Linked DNA regions of Oryctolagus cuniculus. The protein of the gene in region 1 interacts with the protein of each later gene in a pairwise test. Links are inferred from orthologs where the notes say so. Each region holds a gene or a part of one and is shown in the gene's direction. Other genes may lie near its edges.

Region 1 (3,600 bases):
ATGAAATCAGAGCAGACCTATTGTCATGTTTAATCCCAGTGAGAGTCAAGTTGGGAGTTGATAATTTCTTTCTTTCTTTTTTTTTTTTTTTTTTTACAGAGGATCAGTTTAGTATGCATTAAGTAAGGATTTCAACAGTTTGCACCCCCATAGAAACACAAAGTGAAATATATTGTTTGAGTACTCGTTATAGCATTAAATCTCAATGTACAGCACATTAAGGATAGGGATCCTACATGAGGAGTAAGTGCACAGTGACTCCTGTTGTTGACTTTACCAATTGACACTCCTGTCTATGGCATCAGTAATCTCCCTATGCTCCAGTCATGAGTTTCCAAGGCTATGGAAGCCCTCTGAGTTCTCCGATTCTTATCTTGTTTAGACAAGCTCATAGTCAAAGTGGAGGTTCTCTCCTCCCTTCAGAGAAAGGTACCTCCTTCTTTGATGGCCTGTTCTTTCCACTGGGATCTCACTCGCAGAGATCTTTTGCCAGAGTGTCTTGGCTTTCCATGCCTGAAATACTCTCATGAGCTTTTCAGCCAGCTCCGAATGCCTTTAGGGCTGATTCTGAGGCCAGAGTGCTATTTAGGACATCTGCCATTCTATGAGTCTGCTGAGATTCTCACTTCCCATGTTGGATCACTCTCCCCTTTATTTACTCCATCAGTTAGCGTTAGCAGGTACTAGACTTGTCTATGTGCTCCCTTTGACTCCCAGTCCCTTCACCATGACCAACTGTGAACTGAAACTGATCACCTGGAACAGTGAGATGGCATTGGTACATGCCACCTCGATGGGATTGAATTGTTAATATGACTGGTTTAGATCTGAAATTGATGCACAGTTATTCTTAAGTGTTGAAAATTAACTGAAATGTGATCTCTGTTGAACATGGTGGTGGGAATGGGAGAGGGAAGAGATGTATAATTTGGGACATGCTCAGGCTGACTTGCCCCAAGTGGTGGAGTTGGAAGCATACCAGGGGATTCCAATTCCAATTTAATCTTGATTTTTGATTTTTATTTAGAAGAAGTTTATTGTTTGTGATTTTCTGGTCTGTAGCATATTTAAAATGCCTCATTCTCTTCGTGATTTTTATATAGCATTTTAAATAGGAATGGCTGATGAATTTAGCCAATGTTTTTCAGAATGTATTAATATAGGAGTTTTCACCTATAATTTATTAGTATCTGAAATATATCGATCGGCTTTGTAATGAATGCATTCATGGAAGAAGCACAACTTGGTGGACTTATTTTAACATATTGCTAGATTTGGTTGGCTAATACCCCTGTCATTCTAGCTAATTGAATTATGTATTTTCCCCAAAACAGCAAACCAGTACCCTTTTTTCTTTTAATAATAATATCAGTTCTCATATTCTTAAACATCCAGCTTTTCTTAAGCCAGATTTAAAGGTTAATTGCATTTTAACACTACATATTTTATGCAGCTCCTTAGACCTCAAATTAGAATGATAATAATAGTTAACCCCATATGTTCTCATTAGAATTCTACCAAATCTCTGGCTGGGGAGCTGCCCTCGCCAAGTGGAACATGTAACCATCAAACTGAAGCATGAATTGGGCGTTACAGCTATAATGAATTTCCAGACTGAATGGGATATTGTCCAGAACTCCTCAGGCTGTAACCGCTACTCAGAACCCATGACTCCAGACACCATGATTAAGCTGTATAAGGAAGAGGGCTTGGTCTACATCTGGATGCCAACACCAGATATGAGCACCGAAGGTAAGGATTGAATCATTCTAGCCCCTTGCTGGTGTGTTTCAGAGAAACTTCTGCTGTTTGCCTATCATTTGATTGGCATTGATGAATCCATCTATCTAAATTAAGGATCTGAAACATGAAAGGCAGACATGGAATAAATATAAAGAAGTATAAGGCTTTAGATTTAGTGTACTTTACACATGCCTTTTGATGGTTTGACTGAACATCTGTTTAATGTGGCTTTGATTTTTATTCTTCAGCATATTTATTGTGTATCTGTTATCTGCATGGCATTATGCTGTTGGCTGGAAACATGAGGGTAAAAAAGACAGGCGCACTTGTTCTCCTTGTGGAGTATATGGTCCTACAGATATTGCAAGTGCTAGGCAAATGACTAAAAACACAAATTTAAAGCTATGTTGAGGTTTTTTGTTAGAAGATATGTAGATATTGCTATGGGAGGATGAACAAGCAATTGGACTTAGGGAGAGGTCAGGGAAGATTTTCTTGGGAAGTGATATTTGAGCTAAGACTTAAGGGAGCTCCGGGGAAGAATGAGGTGGGAGAATGTGCCCCAGGCCTACACAGAAGAATCCCTAAGCAGGAGACAGCACCAAGTGTTGCAGGAACTAGAAGACTAATGTGGCTGCTGATGAAAGAGCAAGCGAAGAGTATCTTGCAGGATTTGGCCCACAATCAATGCTTTAGACTTTACTCTAGAGCAAGGAGAGGCAGTAGAGTGGTTGGGAGGTTGGGAAATGCTGAGGTCCATTTTTTTTTTCTTTAAAAGTGCACTTTGCATGTAGCAAATGGATTGGAGGTGGAGCTGGGAGGCCAGTTAGGAGCTGAGCACACTAATCGAAGTGGGAGGTAATATGGGATATTGCAGCCCAGGCAGGGTGGTGAGAGTGAGAATTCATTTACTGCACAGGTGCTTGCTTATCATGGCTTTGTGAGAGGGGATATATAGTGTGGCGGGTGTTGCCAGGGAAGCAGAATCAAAGAAGGCATAGTTTTGATCTACTGGTAGGATGCAGTAAAACAAGCCCAAAACGAATGTGAGAGGAATGACTAACATGCTTTTGGCAGAGGGAAGGAGTGATTAACGTGCAGTACATGGGAGGAACATAGAGATGCTACATGCATGCTAGAGCATTTGAGGTGGCCATAGCCTTGACAGGTGTATGTGGAAGGAGGGAGGCATTTGGGATGGAAGAAGTAGCACTGGCCAAGGCACAGAGATGTGAGATCTTAAAGGAATGGTGCATAATTCCACCTGTTTTAGAACAGGGTGCTTATCAAAAACAAAAACAAAAACAAAAACAAAGCTACCTAAGCAAAGAAGCAAGTTACACCAATAGTATCAATCCTTCATCAGCAGGGGGCAGCAGAGAGCTGTGGAAATGGCACTGGCTGAGGGAGTGTGCAACCTGCTGGTCTGGGGGAAAGAAGGAAGACAGGAGTGCCTAGCAGGAAGCAGGTCTAACATCAGCTCTTTTGCCCAAACACACAGTGTGCATCAAACACTCTGCTCAGCAATTTACAGTCATTAACTTATTTAATTCTCTTAACAAGACTCCAGACATATATTGTTGTTATCTTCATTTTGCAGAGAAAGACTGAGGTATAAACAGTTAAGTAACCTATTCAGGAGACCAGAGTATGGAGTGGCATGGCATAGATCTCCCAGCTGGCAGCCAGATGCAGGGTGTTGCAGATGCAGAGACCCACAGGGTCTCAGGAACTCAGGTTCATGATCAACTCAAGTTACACAAAGTCATGAATTTCAGGGAAGGTGGTTTCTCTCTCAGAGAGCAATGGTTCCCACAATGGATGACCTTGAGTATCACAGGGAACCTGTGCAGAGGC
Region 2 (4,375 bases), on another chromosome or scaffold:
AGGAGTTGAAACAGAGTGACTTTTGTGGCGTTAATCAACACCAGGGGGCAGGAGAGAAAGTGGAGTGAAAGGAAACAAGTACAAAAGGATGTTGTGAATAATGGCTGAGGTATGTGAGAGCTTCCAGCACAGTCCTTGTGCCTGGCAGGAGGGCTATACATGTTGAACTATACTTGTTGCACATTTTAAAATCATTTAAAAATTACTTCTTAGAGAAGTCATCCATGTTCACTGTAGGAATTTTTAAAAATACAGAGAAGCTAAACATCAAAGACATTTTTAGTTACTCATAAGTTCACCACCTCAATAAAAGTACGGATAACATTTTAGTGAAGCATATTTTATTTACTCTGCATGCACATCTCTCTCCCAAAATGAGATCACAAAAAATTCTTACAATTTTACATTTCCCCATAACATTAGCTGGTAACATTCACCTTTTAGCTCAAGATATGATTTTGGGCAGAGGAAAGGACTACCCAGGCTTCCAGTTTGGGCTCCGGCCTAACCAACCCCTGGCAAACAGCTTAGCGTCTCTAGGTTTTAGGTTCCTCCTCTGTGAAATAGGTTGATAACAACGTTACCACCCATGTGACCTATGGCACCTTCCCCCTGCACGGTTTTTCCGGCCAGGGTAATTAGTGGAAGAGATTCTGGTGCAGTGGGGCTCGCTCTGGCATCAGCCAGCTCCACCTGTGAGGTCCTGGGTAGGTCTCGTGCCTCCTCAGTGCCTCAGTCTTCTTTTCTCTAAAGTGGAGTGAGACACACTACCTGGGGTTGTTGTGAGACATCTGTAGACAGAGCAGGGTCTGGCCCACAGTCCAGAACCATTCTGCTGCCCCTGTCTCCCACCGGAGGAAACCGAGACCACGGTGACCAGATCCACGGAGCTAGGAAATGCCACACCCAAAGCCCGGGCCCTGTCAGCTGGTTTTGACTGAGCTAAAAGGCTCGAATCCCTGCCCCTCACTGGTTGTTACATTTAAAAAATGAAGCCCAAACCTGAAGCATCTTTCCCAATTTCTTCTTCCACATTTTAGTAACTCCACTTTAACCGTTCCACTGCTGACTGTTCTTTAAAAGACAGCGTGATCTTTTTTGTACATTTTGACTGCTGGATATTTAAGTAGAGCAGAACTTAGATACAAGTTTTATAAAGACAGTTTATACTTAGAAACTTAATTTCAAGGTTGGGACGAATGGTCAAAAACCGCCCCCAACCAGCACAAAATAAGGAAAGCCCAGAGAAAGGCACTGGTGCTGGGAGGGCCGTGAATGTTCGCGTGACATTTTAGCACTGCTAAAGGACGTCAGAACCCAGTCCAGGGAGTTGGGTTCACCACTGGCTTTGGCTGGCCATGTGAGTGAAAAAGGCCATTTCATTTCTGTCTATAGTTTTTTCTCCCAGGGAGAAAACTGAAGAATAGATCAACTTACAAATTGCCTTTTAATTAAATGCTGTCTTATCGTTTTATAGGATCTGCGTGTTGAGAGGGTGGTTCCTGGCACCCACTATGATGCATTCGTGGATTCACCCTAAGCGAAACACACACACACACACACACACTCAGCCAAACTTCTCCCCGCGGAGGCTAAGGTGCGCTAGCACACCAAGCAACGAACAATGCAAACGTTGAAGACGTCGGGAGCCAGCCACAACTTGCTGTGCTCAGATTCAGCCGTGCACACACCCGCAGACGGATTCCCGAGGCGCTGGCTGGTGAGCTGGGCGCCGCCTCCCGGCTCCTTGCATGACTTGCCTGCACACCCCCTCGCCCAGGGTTCGCGTTACGCCGCTCAGTCCAGCTGGCCTAGGAGTCCCCAAATCCCGGGGCTCCCAGCTGGCGCTGGGCACATTCAGCCCCGCAGCTATCGCGTCCTTGGGGAGAGGGCTCGAGCTGCAGCTGGGCGCTGGTTGGTCACGCCAGCGGGCCCGCGGCCCGGCGATTGGTCCAAGGGATCCGTTCACGTGGTTCCGAGCAGATAAGCTGTCTCTCTGGCGCCTGACCCGCAATCTGCGGGAGCGACCTGCGAGGGGGCACTGCTGGGAGCTGCAGGGCGAAAGTGCGCAGGCAGCGGGGTGCAGGCTTTCGCGGTCAGCCCCGCCTCTCTGCCTCATGAGCTGCACCAGGTATGTTGGCTGCGACTCTGCAACCCCCGAGTCAGGCGAAACGTGCAGATGCATGCAGACTGGAATGGGGTGGGGGCGTTTTCGTTCTGTCGTTTCTGCAGATAGAGACCCCAGAGGAGGGCAAGTTGACAGATTGCTAGATTGAATCCGGCACTCAGGGGGCCTGGGAGGTACGGAAATTTGCAGTGTGTGTCTTAAGCAGAACGTATGTTGGCAATCAGCATCCTTAACCAGAAACTGTTTAAACCTGAGTCAGCTATAGTTCCATCTGCCTCACTGATAAGACTTCTCTTTTGGTCCTGCAAGTCTGTTCCTCGGACGCGGGCAGCCGGGCTTGGGGGAACAGACCTCTCATCTTGTTGGTTAGATAGTTTAGTTTGGTGCAAAACTACTGGACGCTTTCACAATCTTATCACGGTTCGCCATAGCAAACTCGGTCTCAGAGTTGGAGCAAACTATTATTTTTAACTCTTGGCCAGGACTGAAAATTCCAAGGAAATAGCCCAGTACTAAAACTGTCTTTCCATAAATGCAAAAGACAACAAACAAACCCAGGCTCCCATAAACTACTTTTAATAGCTTGCCCAGACATAACTTAGCAGAAGCCTTCTCTAAAAATCTAGCCTGTTCATTATTATTAGACCCAGAGTGATAGCTTTAGCTTTCATTTGTTTAAGTCTGCAGGTCACCCAGAAAAATCCCAGCGCTGATAAAGTGAGTTCTGCGAGTGCTCCTTATTATTCATTTTGTGAGAATGAGCGCTTGCTTGGTGCTTGGAGTTGCTCTAATGAGCAATGAAGGCAGACTTGGAAATATTGTGCACAGGATACACATAGCTCTGAATCCATAAGGCTGAAATACGGGGGAACTCTCAATCCCATGCCCTTGGCCAAATGTAATGTGAACCAAAGACCAGAAAAGCCTTCTTGAAGGATTCTTCTTGGTTTATTGCTGAGCATAGTTATGTTAAAAATTTTTCATAGCTTTAATGTCTTTCCGCTTATAAATGTCCATCACCAAAACATTAGAAAATATCCAAAAAAGTACAAAGACAAAAATAATTGTGAAATCCTATCACCTAGAGATAATTACTAACTTTTTAGTTTGTTTTCTATAAAGTTTTAAAATATTTATAAGTTCAAATACAATATATAGTTTTTAAAAAGCCCAATTTTCAGGTCATTAGTTTTCCCACTTAAATGCGGACTTGCCGTGGGCATGTTTCCATAGGAAATACAGGTTATGCAAATTTTTTCTTTAAGTGCCTGAACTGCTGACTTGTTTCAGTCAGTTACTTCTGAAACATGAGGAATAACATGACAAAGTGCAAAGGTAACTTTCTGCCTTCCATTCTCCCTAGCCTTGTCACTCTCAAAACCACTGCATACAAATTTTATTAATGAATCTTTTTTCTTTCCAAGTGGCTTACCTTTCCAAAGCAGCATAAATCATTGAGCAGCAAAATAAGCAAAGGCAGCGGAGGGACTGGATCTGAGGCTTCCAAACCTCTCTCATTGTTAGACCCACCTGGAAGGCTTTCTGAGCATCCCTGCTTCCTTTGCTCCATCCACAGGGGTTCTAAGTATTCAAATTAAGAAGAAAGAAAACCAACCGATTCTCAAGGTCACAGTGACTAGCCAGGGTTGAGAACCATCTCAGAGCCCTGGTTCTTAAAGTTGTGTAGAGATCATTACGTTTCCAACACTTCTGTTTTGCAGAAGGAGAAACAGAGACCCCTCCCACCCCTAAAAAGTTAAGCAGTTAACCCGCAGCCCTGCAGTCAGCCGACAGTGAAGGTGGACATAGGATGCAGGTGGGCTCACCTAACACTGCCGCCTCCTGCTCCATAGAACAGCACCTGCCTGATCCTTACTACATGGCTGGAATTCAGTCTGCACAAAAATAGTACTTATGAAGTAAGGACCCAGTGCAGGTGATGACCCCTCTCCCTTTTACATTCCAGAATGATCCAGGTCTTAGATCCACGTCCTTTGACAAGCTCCGTCATGCCAGTGGATGTGGCCATGAGCCTTTGCTTGGCCCATTCGCCCCCTCTGAAGAGTTTTCTGGGTCCTTACAATGACTTTCAACGAAGACATTTTGTGAATAAACTGAAGCCTCTGAAACCGTGTCTCAACATAAAGCAGGAAGCCAAATCGCAGAACGGCTGGAAGCGCTCACACAACCAAGCCAAGAAGCGGGTTGTGTTCGCCGATTCCAAGGGCCTCTCGCTCACTGCCATCC
Region 3 (4,270 bases), on another chromosome or scaffold:
GCTTGCAAAGGAGTTCCCAGCACCGCAGCTGGAAGCAACGGGACACTGTGAGGTGCTGCCTGCAGGTGGCCCAGCCACTCACGGTGGTTCTTGACATTTGCCTCACACTGGAACACGGGGGCTGTGAGCACCCCAAATCGCGGGCTCCTGGGCAAGGACGCTGTTTCATATTACAGTTTATATTACTCTTCTGCTTGTGTATCACCGGGCTATTGGAGACAAGACTGCACCTATGAGCTGTGAATACTCTGCCTCCCCTCCTCTCTGACCAGGCACCCACATACACGCTCCTTGGAGATAGTGTGCGAGAAACCCAGCTCCACAGCCCCACAGCCACTCAAGAAACAATCACCAGGCTTGCACATCAGGGCCCCGCGCGGGGCGTGGTGGGGGAGGCCCCTTTCTACCAGCCCTCCTCACCCCTTCATCTACCATAGGCCACCAACACAGTCATGCATAGTCTATGACGTCAGCCCTGAAACTTGGCGTCCCTGGCTCAGGCTACGCCAGCCCTCTCTCACTCCAAGTGGCCTATTAAAAACGGAACACTTCTGTCCACCGTAGCACCCCCGCCTGCCTAAAACAGGAAAGAGGCGGGGCTGCAGATCTTAATATTCTTCCTGAAACTCTCCTGTGTTTTCTCTACCGTTAGCCATGTCAGGCTTTCGGATCAGCTTGCAGCGGGGGTGGTAAAATCATTCCTCCCAAATGAGTCACAGGGCGGGCGGCCTGAGGCTCCAGGGGCAGGAAGGATCTCCCCGGCCCCCCGCCAGGGATCTGGCTTTCTCCCTGGACAGTGAAAGGGGCGTCCTGCTCGGCCTGCTGCCCCTCACTGCTCGCTTTCACTTCCTGGCCCAGGCCGCAGGGTCTGCGCCGCGCGCACGCACGCTTCCTGGGTGAGAGCCACGGACGCCCGCAGGGGCCCAGGATACAGAACGCGAACTCCCCGCACCCCTGGAGCTCCCGGCTCGCACCCAGAGCTCAGAGCCCCAGATTCCGGCCCAGGCGCGGAGCTGCTCGCCGGCGATCGACCCCGTTTCCACGCCTCCCTCTGCGCACCGCTGCCGGCACGCAGAGCGGCGGCCCCCGCCCAGCCCCTGGCAGCGGACAGGACGCCTCTGCCCTCCCGCGGGCGTGGCTGCTCGGTTCAGGCGCCAGGGACCTGTCCGCAGACGCCCAAACCACCCCGGGAACCAGCTGCCGGCCGAGGCGCCTGCCCTCCCCCCACCGTCAGCCCCGGGCCCGGAGCTCGCGTGGCGCACGCACCACCTGCGGTCCGGGCGCGCACTGCCCCGCCGACGCACACGGACACCGATCGGCCCCGGGCCGCGACCGCGGCGGACACGTGACGCGGCCGCGCGCTTCCTTCCTCCGGCGCCCGCGCGGAGGCCAGACTGCGGCGCGCTGCGGCACGGCCCGGCCCGGGCGCGGGCGGCGCGGGGCCCGCGGGCCGCGTCACGAGGGGCGGGGCGGAGGCGCGCCGGGAAGTCGCTGCGGAGCGAGGGAGGCGGCGGCCGGGCGGGGCCCAGGGAAGCCCAGCGGCGCGCCCCCTCGCTCCCCCGGGACCCCGGAGAGCCTCCGCTGGCGGCACCGCTCTTGTCCCTGCGAGAAGCGGAGGATCTGGGCGACGGCTCCAGGAACAAGGTGGCGGAGGAAGGGAGGGCGGAGCAGACCCCGGGGTCCCCCCCAGGTCGCTGATCCAGCGGACCCGGAGCGCTTCTGGGCACGGCGGGGCCCGCAGGGAGTGGACGCCGCCCCTCGAGGCCGCCCCTCGGTTCTCTTCCCTCTGCCGCCTGCACGCCAGGACATGTCCCGAGGCCTGCACTCCGCGGTCCTGCCCGCCGCGCCGGGGTCCCGGAAGGCCGCCCCCCGAAGCCTCAGCTGCCTCTCGGACCTGGACGGCCCCGCCCCGGAGCCTCGGCCCTGTCGGCCCCCGGGGAGCCCTGGCCACGCGCCGCTGCTGGCGCCGGCGCCATCCGGCTGCGACCCCCGGCTGCGGCCCATCATCCAGCGGCGGGCGCGCTCCTTGCCCAGCTCCCCGGAGCGCCGCCAGAAAGCCGCGGGCGCGCCCGGCGCGGCGTGTCGACCCGGCTGCAGCCGGCAGCTCCGCGTGCGCTTCGCCGACGCGCTGGGGCTGGAGCTGGCGCAGGTCAAGGTGTTCAACGCCGGGGACGACCCGTCGGTGCCGCTGCACGTGCTGTCGCGGCTCGCCATCAACTCGGACCTGTGCTGCAGCAGCCAGGACCTGGAGTTCACGCTGCGGTGCCTGGTGCCCGACTTCCCGCCGCCCGTCGAGGCGGCCGACTTCGGCGAGCGCCTGCGGCGGCAGCTCGTGTGCCTGGAGCGCGTCACCTGCTCAGACCTGGGCATCAGCGGCACGGTGCGCGTGCGCAACGTGGCCTTCGAGAAGCAGGTGGCCGTGCGCTACACTTTCTCGGGCTGGCGCAGCGCGCACGAGGCGGCGGCGCGGTGGCGCGGGCCGGCGGGCGCCGAGGGCGCGGAGGACGTCTTCGCCTTCGGCTTCCCGGTGCCGCCCTTCCTGCTGCAGCTCGGCTCGCTCGTGCAGTTCGCGCTGCGCTACCGCGTGGCCGGCGCCGAGTACTGGGACAACAACGACGGCCAGGACTACAGCCTCACGTGTCGCAACCACGCACTGCACATGCCGCGCGGGGAGTGCGAGGAGAGCTGGATCCACTTCATCTGAGCCTGCGCGCCTCGGCCCCCAGAGCGGCCAGGCCCCTCTTCCACCTGGTCTCGCGTGGAGCCCTCGGCGGCGGGAGGGCCGCGCTGGGCTGCCAGGCCCCTCTTCCACTGGTCTCGCGTGGAGCCCCCGGCGGCGGGAGGGCCGCGCTGGGCTGCCAGGCCCCTCTTCCACCTGGTCTCTGGTGCAGCCCCCGGCCGCGGGAGGGCCGCGCTGAGCTGCCAGGCCCCTCTTCCACCGGTCTCTGGTGCAGCCCCAGGCGGCGGGAGGGCCGCGCTGGGCTGCGTCCGAGCTGGGGTGCTGGGGTGCCGGAGCCTGGGGCCCAGAGGCAGGGTTTCCTTTGAAGGGCCGGGATTCTGCCGGGAGGGCCTGCTGCATGTGTGTCCGTAAACATGGCTGCTATTTATTTTCGTGATGTCGGGACCTTTCTCCGTAGTGGATGCCTTCTCAGGAATATGCAGATGTCCTGTTATGTGTCCGTGCCCAGTGTGAACAAACCGTGCGCCCTGACCTGCATCCTGGTTGCTCCAGGCATCCCTGCCCAGGGACAAGGAAAACCCGAGACCCTGTCGGCTTGCCAGTGTCTGCAGCCTTCTAAGCGGGAATCTATTAATAGGCACGAAGAATGTGTGTCTCATCAGCGTCACGTAACCACTCCGGGCCTGAGGCAGCCGGCTGGGCCGGGGAAGGGGCTGCGGACTTTGGAACCACCCAACAGCCCTTTCTGCGGCCACTCTTAGGTCATGTGTTTCTGTCCTGTGTGTTTAGGAATCGTGTATCTGCACGTCATCAGGCCATTCCGTTTAGGTTCGAAACTACCTAGACATTCTAAGAAATACTGCCTTAAGTTATTTAGATTTTCAGGTAGTCACCTACTGTTTTCAGGCAACAGTGCCCTTTGAAATTGCCTTCTTGGTTCTTTTTATTTCTTCTTCAGCATCAGGAGGTTCTGGCATTAATCTTTGGGAAGTCCAGTTAGCAAATGGGACTAGAAGGTTGTTTTCAGCGATGGCCAGAGCACTGGAGGAAAAATAATTCACAAATTTTATATTCCTCAGTGGTTTTAAATTGTATTTATATGCCGGGTCTTATCAGCTACCTGCCAACTTTATTCTTTGTGCCTTCAGGTAGGAGACTTCCTGCCTAACCTTTTCTGGGCTTGTTTCAAATTTTAAAATATCAAATACTTTTTAAAAAAAAAACAACTTCCAACCAGCCAGTCAAGCCTCCTGTCCCCTGCAGAGTGCCACGGAAGCTCCCATTGCGAGGCTGGGGAGTTCTGGTGCTGAGTGGTCTCTGGGACAGCAGGGCTGGAGCTGGGGCATGGGGGGAAACACAGCCGTGTTGGACCGTGTCTCCAGTGTATGGAATTGATTTGAAATATCTGAAACCGTGGGATCCACTTTAAGATACCTGCCACCAGTGAGTTAGCTAAATTTGTGACCGCTTATTGGCATTTGTCCAGTGACTATTTGAGAGATGCATTTTGTCTTTGAACCATTTTATTTTTGATGATTGCAATCAAAAATAAAATTCAGTAACAGGAATGACTTTGGTAGCTTCTGATCT

What was found.
Region 2: the proteins of EPM2A (region 1) and PPP1R3C interact in binary tests that used the Homo sapiens proteins (3 or more experiments, as listed by UniProt). The link is inferred for Oryctolagus cuniculus from reciprocal best matches to the Homo sapiens genes EPM2A and PPP1R3C.
Region 3: the proteins of EPM2A (region 1) and PPP1R3D interact in a two-hybrid assay, tested with the Homo sapiens proteins (2 studies listed by BioGRID, with this or other methods). The link is inferred for Oryctolagus cuniculus from reciprocal best matches to the Homo sapiens genes EPM2A and PPP1R3D.

The regions. Positions count from the first base shown.
Region 1 is NC_091436.1:22,737,576-22,741,175, forward strand, and holds part of EPM2A (laforin), read left to right. Parts: intron 1-1,510; coding exon 1,511-1,752; intron 1,753-3,600. UniProt on the Homo sapiens protein: Plays an important role in preventing glycogen hyperphosphorylation and the formation of insoluble aggregates, via its activity as glycogen phosphatase, and by promoting the ubiquitination of proteins involved in glycogen metabolism via its interaction with the E3 ubiquitin ligase NHLRC1/malin.
Region 2 is NC_091446.1:38,806,671-38,811,045, forward strand, and holds the start of PPP1R3C (protein phosphatase 1 regulatory subunit 3C), read left to right. Parts: upstream 1-1,477; 5' UTR 1,478-1,751; coding exon 1,752-2,131; intron 2,132-4,094; coding exon 4,095-4,375.
Region 3 is NC_091442.1:2,547,160-2,551,429, forward strand, and holds the start of PPP1R3D (protein phosphatase 1 regulatory subunit 3D), read left to right. Parts: upstream 1-1,376; 5' UTR 1,377-1,807; coding exon 1,808-2,704; 3' UTR 2,705-4,270. UniProt on the Homo sapiens protein: Seems to act as a glycogen-targeting subunit for PP1. PP1 is essential for cell division, and participates in the regulation of glycogen metabolism, muscle contractility and protein synthesis.